Linked DNA regions of Mus musculus: regions 1 and 3 are each reported to be linked to region 2. Evidence: microRNA targets listed by miRTarBase, many of them from high-throughput screens and not tested one by one. Region 2 holds a microRNA gene; each other region holds the end of a gene's coding sequence.
Evidence for each region. Region 2 holds the annotated microRNA mmu-miR-669n (AUUUGUGUGUGGAUGUGUGU, at 1,861-1,880, shown strand). A microRNA usually pairs through its seed, bases 2 to 8, with sites in the 3' UTR of a target mRNA and lowers its output. Matches are read on the target gene's strand: a 7mer-m8 pairs with bases 2 to 8, a 7mer-A1 pairs with bases 2 to 7 and ends in A, and an 8mer does both.

Region 1 (4,245 bases), not on the chromosome of region 2:
AAGCCATATGGTCCTCAAACTCACAGTCCTCCTTTAGCCTCCTCACAGCTGGAATTATAATACTCACACACACACATAACCCTCTGGTCACTTACTTCTCTAGCATCATTGATTTATGCTGATTCCAGGCTGATAATAGTTCATCCCATGAGTCTGTCAATGTGTGTAGAAATGTAAACAGTGAGGTGCCACACAGGAAGAGTCGTGAGTTCAGTCGGAACTCAAACACACAGTGTTGCCTGTCATTGGCATGGATTCAGCACAGGGTCAGTGCGCCCAAGACTTGCTTTTCTCTCTGCCCCAGCATGCAGAGGGCCGGGGTGTCATCTCCATCACCACAAAGATACTTATAATAATGATCATGATAACCAAGAAACTCAAACGTTGATCTAACACAGATAGTATATGAAACTGGTAACTTAATATTATGCTTTTTATAGTCTAGCATCCTGGGTATATTAAATCATAAAGAATAAAATGCTCTTAACCTTTGTTTTACTTTTAGTGGAAATTTAATGGAGCCACCATTTCAGAGCCAAAAGAAATTTGGGACAAACTTTACAAAGCTGGAAAAGAAAACTATCCGAGGAAAGAAATACGATTCCGATTCTGATGATGACTAGACTGTGCTGTACTTTAAAACCTTCCGTCTGTCTGTCTGTCTGTCTGTCTACTTCAGAGTTAAGTGTGTTTTCTAAATTCCTAAATTCCACTGATTTCGGCCCATTGACCATCTGACACTCTTATCCCAGCCTGTACACTGTTTGACCATTTTGTCTGCAGTCATTGTGTATAACTTGAGAGAAACATACTTTAAATTACCTGGGAGGGTCTGAATTCTCTATTTTTGTGATTGATTTTATCATAACGTGATTCTTCTATCTTCAAACCATTCACATGTCTGTTTTTAATCTCCTGAGTTAGAGATAGGAATTTGCCCACTATTGTAAGAGCCAATGAGTGACCATCCACTGGGCACCACATGCACTTCCTTGTCCGTGATCCGCTTCGTGGAATGGGTTTCAGGAACTGTTAAAGACTCACTCATGGTGACTCTGCTGATGATAGCGGCAGGAAACCCAGGGTGTGAGCACATCGCCTTATTTAAATAGTCCTCATTGCACACGCACATTATGAGACCTGCAAAAATATAATTAAACCGTTTTTGAGTGGTAACATAAGGAACTCCATTGGCTGCTCAGTAAAACAACTTTAGCAAAGGTGAAATTTCTAAAAGTGTGAGTCTGGAAACTATGAGATCATATAGCAAACAAAAACATTTTAAAAAAAATATAGGCCATGTGCTTAGCATGAACAGAAATAATCTGATGCCCAGAAATAAATAAGCCTTGGTAAGAAAAGAGTATAGCATCAACTACTGAGATGGCTCAATGGAGAAAGGCACTTACCACAAAACTTGGGGACTGGGCCCACTGGTGGAAGGAAAGAAAAGATTCCTGCAAGATGTCGTTTAACATACACAATACAGGAAATACAAATGAGTTGAACTACAGGGGTCTTGGGGTTTGAGAGCAGTCTAAAACAACACAAAGGGGCTGGAGAGAAGGCTCGGCAGTTAAGAGCACTTGAGATGGCTTCCTGGCACCTACATGGTGGCACACAGCCATCCACTAGCTCCCATTCTAGGACTCTGATGCCTTCTGACCTCCAAGGCCACCAAGCACAGCAGTGCTCAGTGGTGAGGGGTTCCTTCAGGTAAGCCAGGCTGTTCTGGTGAATTGACACACCCACCTTCCAAGAAGCCCACCAGATGTGGGCTTTGACGAGGCTGTTTCCTCCAGACGAGTTTGCAGTAGAGAGGAATCCCATTTGTGTTACTGCGACTGAGAAGGCAGGATCCAGGCACCACCTTGAGAGGGAACTGAGCCACACTTGGAGTCTGAGAATGGAGAACAGCCATCCAACAGACAACCTAGGAGATGGTTATGGAGAGTGGGAGGGCTACGTGCAAGAGACAAGTTAGGGCAGTACAGTGCACAGGGAAAAACCCTGCCCTGGATGCCAGGACCAGATTACATCAAGAATAAACGTGCCTGTAGCCCTACTCCTGAGGTCATCGGGTGGACCGGCTGGTGATGTTATCTAGGTAGCGGTACGGCCACAGATCCTGAAGACTGCAGCACCAGCAGGCAAGCTCCCATAGCTACATTCTTCCAGCAAGACAAAAGCAGAGACAATGTGATGTCTCGGTTGCTCCCACACTCCCAGTGCACTTGGGAGACCACCACAGCAGCCTATCAGCCACTTCTGGGGATCCAGTCCAAGAATGAAAGCCCATAGGCTGCAGAGCTAAGTGCGGCCAGTAGAGGACGCTACTACATAAAGGTGGGAAGCTATTCAAGTGGAGCCAGGTCCTGTGGGAATCTGACACTTGCCAAACAGGGCTTAACCTTAGAAAAGAGCCCTGGTTCAACAGCCTTCACCATCACATCAGCCCCTGAGACTCCCCTTGCCCTTCTTTCTTTGACCTTCTGGCCTACCCTTGTATTTAACTTTTGTTCAACTCATAGCGATTCTTTTATCCTGGTGTTACTCATCTCATCATGAAATACTTCATTTTGGTTATGCATTTTTTTCCACTATCTGGCGGTATTTTTTTCTTTTGTTCCTCTCAACTAGACTTTCAGCAGTATTTAACTTTGTCTTACTGGGGATAGTCTTTACTTTTTTGTTTTAAAAATCTCATGTTTCTATTTTGTTCTTTACTTGAGGGGGAAGGTTGGGACGGGGACTTTCTACATTGCCCTCTGTAGGCCAGGCTGGCCTTGAACTAGAGATCTGCCTCCGGAACTTGTGAACTAAAAGGCAGTGCTGAACTCCCCTTCTTAACATTTATCTAATTTTGAGTTTTAATTTAATTATTTAAAAATCTGGAATTTTTATTATGTATTTTTATGTATTTTTTCTATTCTACTCTCTCTTTTCCCTTCCACGACATTCTTCTCTACCACTTCTCTTTAACTTTTGGTTCATTTACTATTATTTCTCTATTTCCCTTCTTTTTTATCTCATTCATTTGCTAATGCTACATTGACCCTAAATAATTCTTAATTTATAAAATTCTATAGTACATGCTCCCGTTCTCTGTTTGATGGTCACGGGTGGTGTACTAATGGACTTTATTTTAGGTGTATTTCTATCTGTGGCTGTTGCCACTACAGTAGCTCCCTTTCTCAGTACAGGGCAGTAGTAGGGACTGAGCCCCAAGAGCGAGTTGCTTACTAAGATTTGCAAGTAAAACCAGGAGAGAACCAAACCAAAGATGTGCCAATTTTATCAGAGAAACAACAGATGTATGGGGTGTGGGTGCAAGCAAAATAATATGATTATCAAGAATGTAACTTTATATTCATTATTTTTAAAAGGTGGAAGATTTATGTCAGCAGAAAAGGAAGCAGCGTAGAATTAACAGTTTTTATGTTTGTGTACATGTGTGTATATACACATGTGTGCATGTGTAGAGGTCAGAAGACAACTCCACTATGTGAGTTCTTTTTTAATGTATACAAGTACACTGTTGCTCTCTTCAGATACACCCAGAAGAGGGCACCCATTACAGATGGTTGTGAGCCACTATGCGGTTGCTAGGAATTGAAGTCAGGACCTCTGAAAGAGCAGTCAGTATGCTTAACCACTCAGCCATCTCTCCAACCCCCCCCCACTCTGTGAGTTCTAAGGGTTGAACTCAGGTCATCAAGGTTGGCCCAGTGGGTAAAGCTGCATGTTGCCATGCCTGACAACCTGAGTCTGATGCCCTGACCTTCTGCACTGATCAGTAATCTCAGTGTACCCCTAGGATCAGAAGCAGACAGAGGACTCTTCCAGCTAGCTTGCACACACTGGTGAAGAACCCCTTCCTCACACAAGGTAGAAAAGGAAAGGCCAAAACCCAATGGTTGTCCTCTATACTCCAGGCACATACTCACCATGTCCACACAGAAGAACATGCATACACACAAGTTTCCTTAATCCCCCAAGGCCCCGATACCAAAACTGGTTAAGAACACAACAACAAAAGAAGTTACAGGTCACTTCACTTGATGTACATAGAAACGTTCTCCATAAAATGCATACAAAATCATATTGAAGAGATACTAAGATCAAATGTCATAGCGCAGTTGGTTTTGCCTGAGGAAAGGGAGGTTTAAGCAAAAATAAAGTCAATCAATCAATCAATGTTATGCCCCATGGGCCTGAGGAAATGGCTCAGTGGTTAAGAGTGCT
Region 2 (4,245 bases):
ACACTATGCAAAATTTAAAATGATCAAATGCAGCAAGATAAAGGAATATAATTCTAGTGTTTTAAAATAAAAATGAAGCCAACAATAAAGTGTGTTTTAGGACAAAGGATTTTAGAAGATAATATTAACTACACAATGCACTGCAGCAAGTGGTCGTTGCAGATGGACCTCCCTACAGTCTTCATAGACCACCAGCTCCGTGGCTGGTGAGCAAGCGAAAAGACCAATGAAATGGCAGAATTAAAGATGGGTCTGGCAGGGGCAACACTGATACCAGGGTTTGACATTGTCAGTTCTAGATATAAACTAAAATCGTCTAGTTAATGACTTTACATTGCCAAGATTTTATTCTATACATACAGTGTATGGTTTAAGATTTGAATTATGATCAACTACTTAAATGTCAAAAATCAAAAAGAAATGTTAAAACTCCAGGCAAGATATAAATGGGAAAAGCTATAAGGAGAACTTGGATAGGACTTGTTTTAAAGAGCAAAGGGAACCCCACATGATAATCTGCACTGAAGGTGCCCAGCCACTGGTTCTGTTGTCACCTCCCTCTCACTTAGTAACAGATGGTAGCAGTCTGAACCACTTACCTTACAACTATAAGAATGGCTATAAGAATCGAACAGATAGGATCTGCTATCATCAACCCAAAATTTTGCATCATGATGGCAGAGGCAATTACACCAATACTTCCCAGTGTATCGGCTAGAATGTGTAAAAATACACCTAGAAAGAAAGCATAGGAGAGATTAGAATACTCAAGTGGGAATATTTCTCAGGACTATACTTAAAATATCTTACATATCAAGGAAAAAAAATCAGTCAGGAGAAGTACAGTAGTAACTGTGTAGCAGAATATTTATAAACTGACATAACTGTTTTCATACTGACCAGTTTAAACATCTAACTGGTAAATTATGCTCAATCTTAACAGAACAGTGAAAGTGAAGGAGTTAAAAAAAAAGAAAAAGAAAGTGAAGGAGTAGAGAAAATTAGTTTTAAATGCTGTCTGTGAACATTCACTCTTACTTTAAAAAAGGTTAAATAATTTGTTCTGGAAAGAAAAGAGCATCAGGTTTTAAAAAAAAAAGATGAAGAAAGCAATTTAATTTTGAATACATGAACACATAGAGCCCTCTGCTGGTGATTTAAAATACTGCTTAAGGAATAAAATTTTATATGAACCCTAACTCGACTTAACCTGACATTAATTATCCAAAACATGCCACTACCTAAATTTGTTATTATCCTCAAATACACCAAGCAAAAAAGCAGTTACCTGACTAGGACAAGAAAATACATGTTGAACCTTTGAAATTAAGTACTAAGTAGGACATAGTAGACTATTAAGGACTATATAGGACTATTAAGATTCATAAGTGATATTGGCCTGGAAAACCATAAAAATCTCAAGAAAGAAATTATATATGCAACTCTTTTTGAAACTACCTAAGACAGTAACTCACTCAATATGTAGATCTTTAATAAATAAAATTTATCACACAGCAAAGCAATCTATAAACATAGGTACCAATAAAAACAAAAACAAAGAAAAGCCATAAACCACCGGCCTTCAGCACAGCTGCCCTGCAGGGCACTGGTTAAGATGGCAGACATGCGACCAGCTTAGAAATTCACGTCACATTCCCTGAACGATCAAAGGTAAATGTGTGCCAATTAAAACTGAAGGAAACTTTGTAGCAGCTTAAAATTTGAGCACTACTGAGTCACAGTAAATCTTAACGTTTGCTGGGAAAAGACACTTCCCCTGCCACCGTGTGACTTAGAGCAGGGCGCAGCAAAGGGCACTCGGGCCTTTCACTCTGTGCAGACCACTCTGCAGATCTTTACATTTGTGTGTGGATGTGTGTGTAAATGTATGTGCATCCCACAGCACATGTGCAGAGGGCATTGGCTTACTCCTTCTACCACGTGGAGCCTGAAGACTGAACCCAGGCTGTCAGGTTTGGCTGCATGTGTCCTTATACAGGTACCTCACCAGCCCTGAGTTGTTCTGTAACAAATGGTATTCATTTGGGCAGATAAAAATGAAATGTGTATTTCCACTGGTAAATACTTGTAAATAACCAACTTCTCTATTGTACTTTAAATACCAAAGAATAATATATATATATACATATATATGTATCAAAAACACTTTGGTTTCAAAAACTAAAAAAAAATGAAAAAGATGGATATAAATCAATACAATTGAAATCCCTACATTACAAACTCCTAAATGTAATAACATAGTTTTAAGTTTCTATATTCTCCAATTAGTGTTTTGGTACGAACAGAAATAAAAATGAAAAAAAAATGGTGAAAATAATCTGTTATTCATTTTTCTGATGCTGGAAAGTCCCTGCCTCCATGTAATCCTAACCAGAAAGTGGGTCTCATTAGCACACATCATTACTCTTTTATAGTAACTATTCATGAAGAAAAATCTCTGAGGAAATACATAAAGTCTGTTTAAGTCACATAAGATCGAGACCCTCCAACATTGCAACACACCAATGGTCTAACGTATCTAAAACCTGGCTCACTAAGCTGAAGATGCGCCAACAACTGAAAGCCACATTAGCTGGAGGGGCTCATGTGCTGAGTGTCCGAAGAGCTCTTGGGTAGCAGAGCTTTTACATCAGGCAGTCACAGCTGCCCAGCAGCTTCCTCCAGGCCCTCTTGAGACCAACAAACTCATGTAGTTCAGAAATAGGAATAAAAGGGTACATCGAGCTTTTCTTCCTGCCATTTATGATGATTTTTCATAACTAAATACAAATTATTATCAAAGCCAATGATAGCACTTCATACGGCTATGTCAAAAATGTACAAAGACGCTTTTAAAAGCAATGCCATATATTTTGAAAATGGAAACCTGGTGACAGAAGGCAGCCTAAGCCTTCAGTATAGTGATCTCTTCAGTAATGGAGAAACACAAGAAGCAAGAACTCAACCCAGAAGCAGTAGAACAAAACACATGCAGGAGAGGCTAGATCTGGAGCCACTGAGAAAACCAGACCAACGTCGGCTTTAAAAAGCTAGGAGCAGGGAGGTTAGAACTTAAAAGCTTTGACAATACAGTCTAGGGGAAACTGTGAAAGACTGGGTTATAACCCAGAGGAAAGTACCAGAGTTCAGAGACAGAGTTTTCTCTAGCTGCTGTCACTTACGGAACACTAAGCTCCTGTTTAGGTATCAGTAATTGATGCTTTCACAGATGAGAAAGGTCTCACTGGACTTCATTCTTAGCTCTACAATTTAAGAACATATTGAACGTTACTCTTGGAAAAACTGTCATAATCTAAGGAAGCAGACAGGCTACCCTGAACTCACGACTGTAATAATCCAGGGAAGCAGACAGGCTACCCTGAACTCATGACTGTAATAATCCAGGGAAGCGAACACGCTACCTTGGACTCACGATAGTCAGGCCAGTACTTACCTTCAGCCGGGGTTGTCAATTTCTTGTATTTTTAAAATTAAATCTGAGAAAATAGACAAGTGGCAAAATATCGCTAATATACCTAACACAAAGTATAAGTGTGCATGTGTGAGTGAGTGTATGTGCGCGCACGCATTTATTAGGAAGGATAACACTTACAATACTGTTACCATCTACAGATATTTCCTTAAAAGAGAACTCCAGGCAACTTTACCATGAAGCCAGCTTCATGAAATTAAGAAAGCCACAACTGCTTGTCATACCTTGTAAAATCTGTCTGCTGGGTCCTGCCGTTGCTTTGAAGGATGGGCCATCTGTAGAGAATTAGTTAGATTATTTTAAAACATCTCTTCAATTCCTGATCCAAATGTTTGCAACTCAGAGTTCTTTTTGCTCAACTGTATGATGGAACTATGAGCACACAGTCATATTAGACTTACACAATTATTTTTTTAAATTTAATCAAGTAATTAAATATAGGTGAACTTAGTGAGGGCAATATTGAAATGTAACAAGGATATAGAATATTCTAGAAATTATTGTACTAGAAATAAAACTCACAAGAAGTTAAAAATGTGAAAAATCTACCAATATTGTACTAACGAAATACCTCCTAGTACTTTCATAACTGGAAACCTCACAGAGAATGAAATTACTACGTGGACTTTGATGAGGTCTGTGAACGGAAGCCGGGACTGACAGCAGGTTGCTGTGGAACTACAGCTTTTAGAGACTACTTTCTACAGAGAAGACAGCCACTTCACTAAAATCCTGCCTTTTATGATGAAGGG
Region 3 (4,245 bases), not on the chromosome of region 2:
AACATACTCAAACAGCATCACCTGATTTGACACTCTCGGGATCTCACTCCTGGAAGATGGGAATGGCCTTCACGTCCATTCATTCCGACCTTCACCATCATGTCTAAGAGGCAAGGCTATCACTGCAGGAATAGAGACCCTAACAGCTTTTTAAGAGGATTTTAAAATTATGTTCATGTCTGTGTGCATGTGAGTGTGGTATAGACCAGAAGAGTGTGTAAGATCCCCTAGAACTAGAGATATATGGGTTGCAAACCACCTGATGTGGGTGCTGGGAATTAAACTTGGGTCCTCTGTAAGAACAGTATATACTCTTAACTGCTGGGCATCTCTCCACCTCTTCTGTAATCCCATGCCAGCAGAAATTTTTAGGGAAATGGCAGTTTTCTATATTTTGATTTTGGTTGAGTTTCATTACACAAAATGATCAAGTAGACTATGGATAAAAATCCATTAAACTATACAGTTAAGATGATGAAGATGGGACTGGTACCATTATGTAAATCTTAGATCTTAATCTGTGGTCAGAATATCACAAACATATAAAATGAAAACACAGACGTGTGATCTTATTATTTGGAAATCTAGAACTAATTGTGAGAAATATATGAGTGTTTAGAAGTAGAAGCCTTTTGGAAGGTTGGGAATCAGACTTAGTAGTAAAGATGGTAGTCAATCATGTTTTTGCTTTGATAAATATCAAGATTATGGCTTTTTTTAAATATTTATTTTACTCATATGAGTACACTGTTGCTGTCTTCTTTTTTTTTTTTTTAAAGATTTATTTATTATTATATGTAAGTACACTGTAGCTGTCTTCAGACACACCAGAAGAGGGAGTCAGATCTTGTTACGGATGGTTGTGAGTCACCATGTGGTTTCTGGGATTTGAACTCTGGACCTTCGGAAGAGCAGTCGGGTGCTCTTACCCACTGAGCCATCTCACCAGCCCCCTGTTGCTGTCTTCTGACACACCAGAAGAGTGTATCAGATCCTACGACAGTTGGCTGTGAGCCACCCTGTGGATGCCAGGAATTGAACTGAGGACCTCTGGAAGAGCAGCCGGTACTCTTAACCACCAAGCCATTTCTCCAGCCCCAAGATTATGTTTGTTTGTTTGTTTTTAAGCAAAATGTTTGAAATGAAGGGGTGCTTCAGTCTAGTAGAGAAAAAGGTTTGAAATCCTAAAAGAATCCAAAACCAATAGAAATTAACTAGCAGCTATTGGTTCTTCTTATTTTCCATTCAATGCAATTAGAACCTTCTAGGTGTCAGAAACTCCACCAAACCCATAGTTCCATCCCACAGTCTAGGTGATTTTCAGTAAGGCCCCGAGGGAAGGACATTGTTTGTAAGCATCTGTAGATGTCAAACAAACCGTGTCAAATCTGAAAAGTATGTTGTTTCCCCCAAAGAATGTACACCAGCAACATGGCAGACAGACTGGGCTATTTCATTTGCTGAGCTATGCACTATGATTCTTGAGTTCTTCTTTACGGCTGCTAGATTTCAACAATTTCTTTTCACATCTATTGTGTGTGTTTATGCACCCAAGCCTGAGTGTGTAGAGGCCAGAGGATAACATGATAGAGTTAATTCTCTCTCTGTCATGTGGGTTCCAAGGATGGAACTGAAGTCATCAGGCCTGGTGGCAAGTATCCATCTCACTGGCTTCCTTCACAACCCTTGAACATGCATCAAATGGTTTGTTAGTTCCCTCCAAAAGACAAAACTGAGCTGTTGTGTGGAAGCACACGTAAACTTAGCAAAGATACCAAGAGCCAGCCTAGAGATCAGTTTTGAGAAGGAAGGGCCTTGGGGTGGAGTGGGATTGGGCCTGCAGTCACGGGAGCTTTGGAAGGAGTTCTAGATTCCGGCCTGCCTGTGCATATACAAGCATTTGCAGCGTAACTCTACTAAATTAAGTATCCATTTTTTTTTCTGCATTTACAACAAAACTTTTACTAGATTCAAACAATGTGAATGCCTATGAATGGGGGCTATCTAATTATAATACTAATCACTATGTGCCATTGGAAATGAAACCACTCAGCTTCCATATGCTTATAAGGGTCCAGTGTTTGATTGTAACCTAAAATGGCAAAAGCCAAGTTAGATACAGTACCAGATATAAAACCACACACAGACATAATACACATAGAAAACAATATATTTAATATCTTATGTATAACAATATATATCTCTAGAAAATGTTATCAATCTGTAGAGTAGACAAGGACGCTTAGGCATTGCAGAGGGGCAGAGCAACAAGAGACATCATCTATTTTTTGAATCATACACATTAGTTTAGAATCAAATGGCAAAGATTATTTTGAAAACACTTGCTTATGGCAAGGTTCATTCCAGATTTTGTGCTGGACTACTTTGCTGCAAAGAACTTCAGCAGAGAATAGGCACTGAGTAGCTAGCTAAGGAACAGACGCTCCTTATTTAGCTGTTTGGGTTTTTGGTACTGAGGCGAAAGTCCAGCTCAGCACCACAGGCTGAGTTTATGTTCCACCGTGCAGCCATGCCTCTTAGGGGCCACAAAGAATATTTTAAGTTTGTTTGAGAGAGGGTCTCACTATGTCACCTGGGCTGCCCTCAAACTTACGATCAAACTTACTGCCTCCACCTCCTGAGTTCTGGGATTACAGGTGTGCACTGCTATGCCCAACAAAGCTTTGCTATTGAAATTGTTACTGAGGATTGAACCTCTACATCCTAAGCAATACTCTCAGCCATTGAGCTCTGCCCCCAACCCATCACAAAGACTCTTAAACAAGAATTCCTCATAGATGAGCATGACATGGAGAGATAACAATGAATAGAACAGCATCTTAGCCCTTGTGGAAGGAGAAGTCACTTAGGAGAAAAAGGAGAGGTGGATCCCACTCTTTTCCTATGTCCGTTTGTTTTCTGTTCTTTATAAATAGGATGAGGTTGAGCCTCTTGTTTTTAACAAGTCACAAATCTAGAAAACCCATCTTAAAAAAACAAAAAAACCAAAAACTAAACAAAATTTTAAACACTTCTTTGGTAAAGTATTCAACTTCACACGTCCACAGCTCTTCAGTCTTCTTTCTGTTCCTTCATTTTCAGCTCCCAAAAGGCATAGATGAAATGCTAAGTTTACATGCATAAGCCACAATAAGGCCCCTTCAGACCGCCCTGCTGAGGGGTCAGATCAGAGGAATCTTGGTCAGAGGCATCAGAGAACATTTTGCCCCAAAACCAAGTGCTTTTTAAAAAACAAACAAACAAACAAACAAACTTTTTTCCTTTTCCTTTCTTTCTCTTCTTTCTCCTCCTCCTCCTTTTCCTCCTCCTCCTCCTTCTCCTCCTCTTCCTCTTCCTCTTCCTCTTCCTCTTCCTCTTCCTCTTCCTCTTCCTCTTCCTCTTCCTCTTCCTCTTCCTCTTCCTCTTCTTCTTCTTCTTCTTCTTCTTCTTCTTCTTCTTCTTCTTCTTCTTCTTCTTCTTCTTTTGTGGGGGGAGGTGTTGAGACAGGGTCTCTCTACATAGTCCTGGCTCTCCTGGAACTCAGTATGTAAACTCGGCTGGCCTTGAACTCACAAATATCCAACTGCCTCTGTCTCCTGAGTGCCGGGATTAGAGACTTGTGACATTACACCTGGCACGGTGACTTTCTATTCCTTATGGAGGGTAAACACACTGGCATTGTCAACAGCTTGAGTGAGAAGACCTTGTCTACTGCTTGTCACAATTGATTCCAACATTCCTCTCAGGCTATGCTTTGAAACCCGTCTTCTAAGAAAATTCTGCCAAGCCCTTTAACAAATCACGACTGGGAGAGAGAAGGGGAGCTTTGAGTTATCTTAAAGAACAGAAGTTTAGGAGCATCTCATTGTTGAAGTGATCTAAGCCCATGCATGCCATCTCTTCGTCAAAATCCCACCTGTTGCTCTTGCCGGGCAGTGCATGTTGCTGCTGAGTAGGAGAGCCATAGGTGAGCAGGAAGGGATCCTGCTGAGGTGGGTGGTACGTGAGGGAGGGCACATAGCTGCTCAGATCCACAGATACTTTCTCTTCGTAAGGCTCACCTCCCGGATTGGACCACAAGGGATGACAGCCTGGTTGAGCTGCAGGGGGTTCTGATGGAACTTGCTGGGGTAAGTGCTCCAAAGAGTTCTGGGAGGGAAAGTAGTCGTAGGGCCAGCTGGCCACAGGCAGAGGATAGGCTGGATAGTAGATGTCATCGGAGGGATTTCTCCCTAAGGCAACATT

Region 1: the mRNA of Txndc9 is a reported target of mmu-miR-669n. Seed matches in the 3' UTR shown: 7mer-A1 at 1,410-1,416 and 7mer-m8 at 1,546-1,552.
Region 3: miRTarBase lists Gcm1 as a target of mmu-miR-669n. Seed matches in the 3' UTR shown: 7mer-A1 at 3,482-3,488.

Annotation. Positions count from the first base shown.
Region 1 is chr1:37,984,040-37,988,284 of GRCm38, reverse strand. Txndc9 (thioredoxin domain containing 9) reads left to right here. Exons shown (of 5, transcript NM_172054.4): 5 at 506-4,245. The coding sequence ends at 623. Among named protein-coding and RNA genes, the nearest start is that of Txndc9, 11 kb to the left of the region's middle.
Region 2 is chr3:115,978,045-115,982,289 of GRCm38, forward strand. Mir669n (microRNA 669n) reads left to right here and starts at 1,858; the gene lies at 1,858-1,911. It overlaps Slc30a7 (solute carrier family 30 (zinc transporter), member 7), which reads right to left. Exons shown (of 11, transcript NM_023214.7): 7 at 3,718-3,768; 8 at 600-735.
Region 3 is chr9:78,064,676-78,068,920 of GRCm38, reverse strand. It overlaps Gcm1 (glial cells missing homolog 1), which reads right to left. Exons shown (of 6, transcript NM_008103.3): 6 at 3,297-4,245. The coding sequence ends at 3,832. It also overlaps the pseudogene Gm8058. Among named protein-coding and RNA genes, the nearest start is that of Gcm1, 15 kb to the right of the region's middle.